3 linked regions of the Xenopus tropicalis genome follow. The protein of the gene in region 1 binds, or shares a complex with, the protein of each later gene. Links are inferred from orthologs where the notes say so. Each region holds a gene or a part of one and is shown in the gene's direction. Other genes may lie near its edges. The genes, in order: ppil2, crnkl1 and cwc15.

Region 1 (3,659 bases):
CCATTCATTGAATCTACATAGTTTTAGTCAGCCCCAGCTTTTACCTTCCAGAATGAAGAACTGCTACATGTAACAAATGATTAGTACATGGAATTTTCAAAAATTGTTAGTTTACTATTCATACAAATTTATTTTTTTTAAATATATATTTACAGACACACACTTTATCCAGATGCTAGTTTTTATTACTTATATGAATATAAGGATATGCAAGGACTCGTATCCTCTGTGTTTCTCAATGGTCGCTGTGAACAGCAATTTCTTGTTTAAAACTGGTCCAGCATGCACGTAAGAAGTAAAAATGTATTCAGTCAAAAAGATATCTTTGTAAATTTACTTGTTGTTTTTCAGATGAGGAAAAGGCACGTCAGGACCCATCATATTACCTGAAAAATGCAAACATGGAAACTCGGGAAACTCTGAGTGAGCTTTACAGAGACTTTAAAGGGGATGAAATGTTGGCAGCCACTATGAAAGGCCCGGAGAAAAAAACAACAGATAAACTCAATGCAGTGTGTATACATTTATCTATCAGTTTATCTCTTTTTTTTCCCTACATATTCCTGCAGGGTGTGCTTTCTGTCACTGTTTTAGACTGTCTTTGCTCACTCAGTTCTCTGACTCCAAGCTGTTTCTCAACTAACCACTTAGCATTTATATCATTTCTATTGTAATATTTTGAGCAGCTAAGGAATGTCTTAATATTAGTGTAGGTGGTTGGATAACAACAGTTGATAACAGACCCTTTGTAATCTAAATGATTCATCTTTTTTACCAGGCTCATTATTCTACGGGAGCTGTGAGTGCATCCTTCACCTCCACAGCAATGACTCCTGAGACTACTCATGAAGCTGGTAAGATGTCACAGATTTATTGTGTGTGTATTGTAGTATACTTTATCAGGAAAATAGTTGGCAGATACAAACTGGACTCTGAATAAAGATGAATGTGCAGAGCATTCTGATTGATTGGCAGATGTTAAGCCATAGTAAATAGGCATATCCTCAGGGAGTAGAGGAAAGCAGAGGACATTCTTTGTGGGGGTGTTGGTACAAGAAATATAATTGTATGGGGTGAAGTCGTGCTTGAGTCTATATCACAAAACACTAAAATTGGCTCACAGATCATACACAGATCTCTTGGTGTACCCAGGTCTGTACCAATAATAATTAAAATTACTTCATTCTTACAGCTGCTATTGCTGAAGACACCGTGCGTTATCAATATGTAAAGAAGAAAGGTTATGTTCGCTTGCACACTAATAAAGGTGACCTCAACTTGGAGTTGTATTGTGACAAGGTAATTCAAAATTGCTGTCTTGCCTCCAGTGTTACTTATATGTTACTTAAATGACAAAGATTCATAAAAAGTATGTTTTTTCTTTTTTTTCTTTATATGTAAAACAGAATACTAAAAATGGCGATCAAAACCTGTAATTTCTTTATATGCCATATTAAATTAGTGGAAATTAATTGGAATTTAGTATAAATAAAGTTCAAAAAGATCATTAAAAAAAAAAACTGTTGGGTGTAAGTTGTCAGTAGCCATTTATTGGGTGTAGCACAAGATAGGATGGGCCCTCTGATTTTTTTTTTTTTTTTTTTTTACTCTGTAACCCATGTTTATTAAATGACTGTAAGATCCCTGTGCATTATAAATCAGTATAAAGCCTTTGGTAACTTGCTGGCGCTATATCAATAAATGATAAACTGCTTGTGAGCAGCCAGTTTCCTTGAGGCTGCTGGGACATTCCAGGCTTTTATGCAGAACAGTTTTCACAACAACAAAAATATAGAGGTATCTTGTTCTTCACTATAATACATTAAGAGACTAAAATCTCCCCATGGTGCAGTAGGGTCTCCAAGCAGTGCAAGGCACTGACAAGCAAGGTTGTGTTGCTAAAGGACTTTGCAATATACATATATGTGCCATAAACTGAAAGCTTGGGCAGTGCTCCTTTAAATTAGGGATATCTTACTTTGAAAGGTCCCTTCACTTTGCTGTTGTCGGTAGGTTTTTTTTTTCCTTTAACCCTTTTACTGCCAGCCATTTTGGTCAAAGCGGAACTTGTATTGCCAGACAGTTTTTGAACATTTTGCACTGTTTCACTTTAGGGGCCTTTCCTCGGGGGGACTTTTAGTTTACCAAGGAAAACAATATATCGTTTTTTTCAGAACAACCTAAGCTTTCAAAATATGGTAGAATTTTTGTGTAATTCCAATTCTGTAACAAGATATAGGCTTCTAAATGTCTAAAAATGCAAAAAAAATCAAATTTTCCATAATATAATCACACATACTAGAAACAAAAATTATTTTATGCACAAATATACAACTGATTTGGAAAGTCCCATGTCTCCTGAACGTGCCAATACCAAATATATATAGTTTTATGGAGATTTCTCACTTGTATAGGTCAAAAACTCCCAGCAGTACACTACCAAATTCCCAAAGCACTGCTCCAAAAAAACTGCATACTTTGGATTTCAAGGCCAAAATTCCACTAACAGAAGGTTTATCCCAGAAAATTGTACATTTTTGGAAAGAACAGATTCTGGGGAATACAGAATAGGCACAACTGTCTGTCTACTCCAAACTATCAAGTCGCAATGCTTTCCTAAAGTTATTGGTTTTTATCAAAATTTGTGATTTTTTTTTTAAAAATTGCTTCAAAGCTTCCAGTCTATAGTATCTTATCTCCTACAGGTCATAAAGTAACCAAATAAAACACCCTAAATATGAATGCCTGGGGTCCACTGAACAGTTTGATGCCCAATATGTATAGGTTTACCTAAGTATGTGGCATGTAGGGGCCCCAATGTGAACATACCCCATATGAACTGTCATTTCTGTCATTTCAGCTTCTGCAAAATCAACACATTTACATCATTATATGTGGGATAAAGCTAGTAAAAAGTATGCTCACCCCAGAAAGTCATATATTTTTGGAAAGTACACATTCCCCCGAATCTAAAATGGGTACCCATGTCTTTCTACTCCAAAGTACCAAGCCGCACAGCTTTTCTAAAGTTAGCAATTTTGATGACATTTCCAAAAATCCCCTCAAAGCTTCCACTTTGAAGCATCTTATCTCCCACATAGCATTAGGTACCAAGATAAAACACCCTGAATTTGAACGCCAGGGGTCCACTGAACAGTTTGATGCCCAATATGTATAGGTTTACCTAAGTATGTGGCATGTAGGGGCCCCAATGTGAACATACCCCCATATGAACTGTCATTTCTGTCATTTCAGCTTCTGCAAAATCAACACATTTACATCATTATATGTGGGATAAAGCAAGTAAAAAGTATGCTCACCCCAGAAAGTCATATATTTTTGGAAAGTACACATTCCCCCGAATCTAAAATGGGTACCCATGTCTTTCTACTCCAAAGTACCAAGCCGCACAGCTTTTCTAAAGTTAGCAATTTTGATGACATTTCCAAAAATCCCCTCAAAGCTTCCACTTTGCAGCATCTTATCTCCCACATAGCATTAGGTACCAAGATAAAACACCCTGAATTTGAACACCAGGGGTCCACTGAACAGTTTGATGCCCAATATGTATAGGTTTACCCAAGTATGTGGCATGTAGGGGCCCGAATGGGAACATACCCCCATATGATCTATCATTTCAGCTCCTGCAAAATCAACAC
Region 2 (4,424 bases), on another chromosome or scaffold:
GGAACTATTGGCAATAAAAGTTTCCTTATCATCATAAAGCTGGCCATACACGCACCGATACTATCGTACGAAACCTTGTTTCGTACGATATTCGGTGCGTGTATGGCATGTCGGCGAGTCGACCGATATCGCAGGAAGCTGCTGATATCAGACGACTCGCCGATCGGCCAGGTTAGAAAATTTTGATCGGGCGCCATAGAAGGCGCCTGACCAAAATCTGCCGTCAGGGCTGAATCGGCAGAAGGAGGTAGAAATCCTATTGTTTCTACCTCCTTATCTGCTGTTTCAGCCCTGACTGTGTGTGGCGGATCTGACGATGTGTCGCACGAAACATCGTTAGATCGCCACGTGTATGGCCAGCTTAAGACCTGCATGAGTGGCTTCCAATTTTCCCTTATTCGCTACTACTTGAAGACTGCATCCAGGCATAACAAGCTTCCTTAAATGTGACTGCCGGCAGCTCCTGTTTCCATATATATATATGGAATTTTTTCAATAAAAACATTTTTTTCTTTTGCATCAAACCCCTGTGTGTGTGGCATTCTTTCTATTATATATATATATATATATATTACCAGAGGGGTGGCACATGGCTTTAATTATATACCCAGGTGCATGGTAAAAACATAACACATACAAAAAAGACCAGCAACACTGGGATTTCTGTGCAAATCAAAAAAGTATATTTAAATGTACATATACAGCCAACGTGACGTTTTGGTCCTCCCTAGTACCCTTTCTTTAAATGCACATTTCAATATACTTAACTCATGATCCATAGCACACAAGCTAATGTCTGCTCAGGTAAGGTCTTGGCTCTCAGATCATGAAGGTGCAGGTGAAATAATACAAATAATGAAAGCCCTTAGGAGTCAGCACCCCAGAACACGTCAAAGTGTATTTTAAAAGACTATAACAGAAAAGTATATCAAATTGTAGAGAGTTCCAGAACCTTAACGTGTTTCATTGGGCTAAACTGTATTTACTCAAAGGCAAATGTTCATAATATGTGCAGGTTCCATTTTCAATAACAAAGACAGAACAGGCGGACACAATGCATAAATAATTAATATCAGCATTTACAGATAGTGTTCATTTACTAACATACTAGTTGGTGCTGAACTTTGCGCCAGTGCAGAAACCCTAGCACCCAATCAGCAGTTAGCGCCGAGGGGCTCTTTGCCCAATGCTTAGCGGCGCACAGTGGTCACGCAAGGCCGGCTGTGGGTTCCAGACCCATACATGTTATTTTCACTATTCATGCTAAATCCAAGGTTATACAGCACGATATGCAGCTTCCCTGTTACCTGTCAGGAAGCTCAGTGGGTTCGGTCACTTGTGCAGGCAGCAGCTGTAAGGCATTCGCTCAGGATCAGGACGCGATACTCGGTTGCTATGGACACGGGACTGGGCGTGACATTCATCAGGGGCGGTCACCGAAACCAGCAAAAGTCCTACGGAGACTATTACGTAGCACGTAAAACCAACGCTACGTCATTACGCCCCGTCTTGGTGTTTCCTGTCAGGTTGTGTTGCAGACGTGAGGAAACATGGCGTCCACAGCGGCGGGGAAGCAGCGAATTCCAAAAGTGGCCAAGGTAATAAAGTTGGGATAGATTCTTAGCAGAAGGTCTGTACGGGGGTTTGTATGACTTGCTGATGGAGTTGTCTTACATTTAGCGATAATACGAACGCTGTGGTTGATGGGTAGCGAGTAGAACCCAGGAGAATTAGTATTCATAGCTGTGCCATCCTTGTAGCCCCCTCATTCATAGCTGTGCCATCCTTGTAGCCCCCTCATTCATAGCTGTGCCATCCTTGTAGCCCCCTCATTCATAGCTGTGCCATCCTTGTAGCCCCCTCATTCATAGCTGTGCCATCATTGTAGCCCCCTCATTCATAGCTGTGCCATCATTGTAGCCCCCTCATTCATAGCTGTGCCATCCTTGTAGCCCCCCTCATTCATAGCTGTGCCATCCTTGTAGCCCCCTCATTCATAGCTGTGCCATCCTTGTAGCCCCCTCATTCATAGCTGTGCCATCCTTGTAGCCCCCTCATTCATAGCTGTGCCATCCTTGTAGCCCCCTCATTCATAGCTGTGCCATCCTTGTAGCCCCCTCATTCATAGCTGTGCCATCCTTGTAGCCCCCTCATTCATAGCTGTGCCATCCTTGTAGCCCCCTCATTCATAGCTGTGCCATCCTTGTAGCCCCCCTCATTCATAGCTGTGCCATCCTTGTAGCCCCCCTCATAGCTGCCATCCTTGTAGCCCCCCTCATTCATAGCTGTGCCATCCTTGTAGCCCCCCTCATTCATAGCTGTGCCATCCTTGTAGCCCCCCTCATTCATAGCTGTGCCATCCTTGTAGCCCCCTCATTCATAGCTGTGCCATCCTTGTAGCCCCCCTCATTCATAGCTGTGCCATCCTTGTAGCCCCCCTCATTCATAGCTGTGCCATCCTTGTAGCCCCCCTCATTCATAGCTGTGCCATCCTTGTAGCCCCCCTCATTCATAGCTGTGCCATCCTTGTAGCCCCCCTCATTCATAGCTGTGCCATCCTTGTAGCCCCCCTCATTCATAGCTGTGCCATCCTTGTAGCCCCCCTCATTCATAGCTGTGCCATCCTTGTAGCCCCCCTCATTCATAGCTGTGCCATCCTTGTAGCCCCCCTCATTCATAGCTGTGCCATCCTTGTAGCCCCCCTCATTCATAGCTGTGCCATCCTTGTAGCCCCCCTCATTCATAGCTGTGCCATCCTTGTAGCCCCCTAGGCCCTCCCCCTCATTCATAGCTGTGCCATCCTTGTAGCCCCCCTCATTCATAGCTGTGCCATCCTTGTAGCCCCCCTCATTCATAGCTGTGCCATCCTTGTAGCCCCCCTCATTCATAGCTGTGCCATCCTTGTAGCCCCCCTCATTCATAGCTGTGCCATCCTTGTAGCCCCCCTCATTCATAGCTGTGCCATCCTTGTAGCCCCCCTCATTCATAGCTGTGCCATCCTTGTAGCCCCCCTCATTCATAGCTGTGCCATCCTTGTAGCCCCCCTCATTCATAGCTGTGCCATCCTTGTAGCCCCCCTCATTCATAGCTGTGCCATCCTTGTAGCCCCCCTCATTCATAGCTGTGCCATCCTTGTAGCCCCCCTCATTCATAGCTGTGCCATCCTTGTAGCCCCCCTCATTCATAGCTGTGCCATCCTTGTAGCCCCCCTCATTCATAGCTGTGCCATCCTTGTAGCCCCCCTCATTCATAGCTGTGCCATCCTTGTAGCCCCCCTCATTCATAGCTGTGCCATCCTTGTAGCCCCCCTCATTCATAGCTGTGCCATCCTTGTAGCCCCCCTCATTCATAGCTGTGCCATCCTTGTAGCCCCCCTCATTCATAGCTGTGCCATCCTTGTAGCCCCCTCATTCATAGCTGTGCCATCCTTGTAGCCCCCCTCATTCATAGCTGTGCCATCCTTGTAGCCCCCCTCATTCATAGCTGTGCCATCCTTGTAGCCCCCCTCATTCATAGCTGTGCCATCCTTGTAGCCCCCTCATTCATAGCTGTGCCATCCTTGTAGCCCCCTCATTCATAGATGTGCCATCCGTGTAGCCCCCTCATTCATAGATGTGCCATCCTTGTAGCCCCCTCATTCATAGCTGTGCCATCCTTGTAGCCCCCTCATTCATAGCTGTGCCATCCTTGTAGCCCCCTCACATTTGTCTTCTGAAATGTTGGTATCAAGGCTGAACCCACAAATGTGCACCTGTTTCTGAACTGGAACTAGCATCTTGCGTTCCAACAGTCAACCTGCTATTCTACCAGAAATATTCCTTTTTCCCTAACTGACTTTGTGTTCTTGTTCCACTGAAGGTTAAAAACAAAGCGCCGGCAGAGGTGCAGATTACAGCCGAGCAGCTGCTGAGAGAGGCCAAAGAGAGGGAACTTGAGCTTCTGCCTCCACCTCCTAAACAGAAGATCACAGATGAGGAAGAGCTTAATGATTACAAACTAAGGAAAAGGAAGGTAATGCTTTCAGCCGTGGCTAAAACTCATTTACCATGGGACAGCATTTGCAGCAGTAGGGTGCATTTTATACAGATGCTGTCAGGTCCTCTCTGCAGCATGGAAGTTTATGTTTAATCTGTAGTTCTGTGTTATGATTGCTGAGCTGCAGATTGGCTGGCATCCTACAGTGCAAAATGCTGAAATGCAGGAAATGTACAGATGCCTGCTGCAAGTAAGGTTTTGGGGATATGATTCTAAAAGTTGTATAAAAATACATTTTGTTAACATTTTTTACATGATTACATACAGAAAAATTTAGAAAACAATGCATGAACACTATCGGAACTTCCAGAGAGTAATCTAAATGTTTTTTTTAAGGATATTATTGAGATATTCACTGCTGCCTGTGTCCATGATGATGTCTCATTCAT
Region 3 (2,900 bases), on another chromosome or scaffold:
GTGTGACATTTATATTCTATATATACAGTATAGTGTGCCATTTATAGTCTATATATACAGTATAGTGTGCCATTTATAGTCTATATATACAGTATAGCGTGACATTTATAGTCTATATATACAGTATAGCGTGCCATTTATATTCTATATATACAGTATAGCGTGACATTTATAGTCTATATATACAGTATAGTGTGACATTTATATTCTATATATACAGTATAGCGTGACATTTATAGTCTATATATACAGTGTAGCGTGCCATTTATAGTCTATATATACAGTATAGCGTGACATTTATAGTCTATATATACAGTATAGCGTGCCATTTATAGTCTATATATACAGTATAGCGTGCCATTTATAGTCTATATATACAGTATAGTGTGCCATTTATAGTCTATATATACAGTATAGTGTGACATTTTTATTCTATATATACAGTATAGTGTGACATTTATATTCTATATATACAGTATAGTGTGACATTTATACTCTGTATATACAGTATAGTGTGACATTTATATTCTGTATATATATATATATATATATATATATATATATACAGTATAGTGTGACATTTATATTCTATATATACAGTATAGTGTGACATTTATATTCTATATATACAGTATAGTGTGACATTTATATTCTATATATACAGTATAGTGTGACATTTATATTCTATATATACAGTATAGTGTGACATTTATATTCTATATATACAGTATAGTGTGACATTTATATTCTATATATACAGTATAGTGTGACATTTATACTCTGTATATACAGTATAGTGTGACATTTATACTCTGTATATACAGTATAGTGTGACATTTATATTCTATATATATATATATATATATATATATATATACAGTATAGTGTGACCGTTATACTCTATATATACAGTATAGTGTGACATTTATATTCTATATATACAGTATAGTGTGACATTTATATTCTATATATACAGTGTAGCGTGCCATTTATATTCTATATATACAGTATAGTGTGCCATTTATATTCTATATATACAGTATAGTGTGACATTTATATTCTATATATACAGTATAGTGTGCCATTTATACTCTATATATACAGTATAGTGTGCCATTTATACTCTATATATACAGTATAGTGTGCCATTTATACTCTATATATACAGTATAGTGTGCCATTTATACTCTATATATACAGTATAGCGTGCCATTTATAGTCTATATATACAGTATAGCGTGCCATTTATAGTCTATATATACAGTATAGCGTGCCATTTATAGTCTATATATACAGTATAGCGTGCCATTTATAGTCTATATATACAGTATAGCGTGACATTTATAGTCTATATATACAGTATAGTGTGACATTTATAGTCTATATATACAGTATAGCGTGACATTTATAGTCTATATATACAGTGTAGCGTGCCATTTATAGTCTATATATACAGTATAGCGTGCCATTTATAGTCTATATATACAGTATAGCGTGACATTTATAGTCTATATATACAGTATAGTGTGACATTTATAGTCTATATATACAGTATAGCGTGACATTTATAGTCTATATATACAGTGTAGCGTGCCATTTATAGTCTATATATACAGTATAGCGTGACATTTATAGTCTATATATACAGTATAGCGTGCCATTTATAGTCTATATATACAGTATAGCGTGACATTTATAGTCTATATATACAGTATAGTGTGACATTTATAGTCTATATATACAGGATAGCGTGACATTTATATTCCATATATACCGTGTAGCGTGACATTTATATTCTATATATACAGTGTAGTGTGACATTTATACTCTATATATACAGTATATAGTGCGAGTGGGCCCCTAAGCTCAGGTAAGTGACAGCAGCACAGAGTGTGGGGAGGGAATCAGCAGAAAAGGAGATGGGGGGGTAATGGGGCATCTTTGGGGGCACAGACCTTCCCTGCTAAAGGGCTGTGGGTGCTTTGAGTGCAACACAAGCCAAGCATATTGAGCCTCATTAGTTGAGTGTCAGTTCTCCTTAAATATTCCTGCTTACAAACGGCACTAACATGGGTCTCCCTTCTGTCTCAGGTGGGACGACGACGTTGTATTTAAGAACTGCGCCAAGGGAGTCGATGAAATGAAAAAGGACAAGAGATTTGTGAATGACACTTTACGTTCTGAATTCCACAAAAAGTTTATGGAAAAATACATCAAGTAGTACAGTTTTATGTGCTCCATTCTGGAGGTGGTTCCTTTAATGGCTGTCGGACTTTAGAAGGCCATGTCTTTGCGCTGAGTTGCGCAGCACCCGCCTCATCGTGCTCAGCGACATCACGCTTCTTAATTGCTTGTCTTTGTGTGCTCATCAATAAATAAATTCCATTTGTTTTCTACTTCTATGTTTCCGTAGTTCTGTTTCTTCTGTTTTGGTTCTGAATGTTGGATAAAAGCACCGCTCTGCCAGGAACAGGTTGGCATTAGTTACAGTGGGTTTCAGTGATTATGTATTCTGCTGTGGCCCCTTTGCATTCCCAGCACCCTAATCCCACTTATATTAGAGCATCCCATGCAATTGCCCACTCACGTGCTGAAGATTGTTGTATACGCCACTAGTCTTGCATGTTAGCAGGGTAGCACCCCACGGAGCAGGTTAGTTGGTTTGCATGCACTGTGCTATAAAGGGGTTGTTCACCTTTGAGTTAACTTTTAGTATGATGTAGAGAGTAATATTCTTTGACAATTTACAATTGGTCTTCATATTTTATTATTTGTAGTTTTTTCATTATTTCAATCATTGTTCAGGAACGCGCTCCAGTTTGGAGTTGTAACAGCTACCTGGTTGCTAGGGTCCAAATTAGCTTAGCAACCAGGGAGTGGCTCGAATGAGAGACTGCTAT

The links.
Region 2: ppil2 (region 1) and crnkl1 share a complex: the UniProt entries of both Homo sapiens proteins name them as parts of the minor spliceosome. The link is inferred for Xenopus tropicalis from reciprocal best matches to the Homo sapiens genes PPIL2 and CRNKL1.
Region 3: ppil2 (region 1) and cwc15 share a complex: the UniProt entries of both Homo sapiens proteins name them as parts of the minor spliceosome. The link is inferred for Xenopus tropicalis from reciprocal best matches to the Homo sapiens genes PPIL2 and CWC15.

The regions. Positions count from the first base shown.
Region 1 is NC_030677.2:154,131,885-154,135,543, reverse strand, and holds part of ppil2 (peptidyl-prolyl cis-trans isomerase-like 2), read left to right. Parts: intron 1-351; coding exon 352-512; intron 513-778; coding exon 779-854; intron 855-1,192; coding exon 1,193-1,299; intron 1,300-3,659. UniProt on the Homo sapiens protein: Has a ubiquitin-protein ligase activity acting as an E3 ubiquitin protein ligase or as an ubiquitin-ubiquitin ligase promoting elongation of ubiquitin chains on substrates.
Region 2 is NC_030681.2:36,926,138-36,930,561, forward strand, and holds the start of crnkl1 (crooked neck-like protein 1), read left to right. Parts: upstream 1-1,521; 5' UTR 1,522-1,550; coding exon 1,551-1,598; intron 1,599-3,858; coding exon 3,859-4,011; intron 4,012-4,424. UniProt on the Homo sapiens protein: Involved in pre-mRNA splicing process. As a component of the minor spliceosome, involved in the splicing of U12-type introns in pre-mRNAs.
Region 3 is NC_030678.2:164,525,157-164,528,056, reverse strand, and holds the end of cwc15 (protein CWC15 homolog), read left to right. Parts: intron 1-2,091; coding exon 2,092-2,221; 3' UTR 2,222-2,396; downstream 2,397-2,900. UniProt on the Homo sapiens protein: Involved in pre-mRNA splicing as component of the spliceosome. Component of the PRP19-CDC5L complex that forms an integral part of the spliceosome and is required for activating pre-mRNA splicing.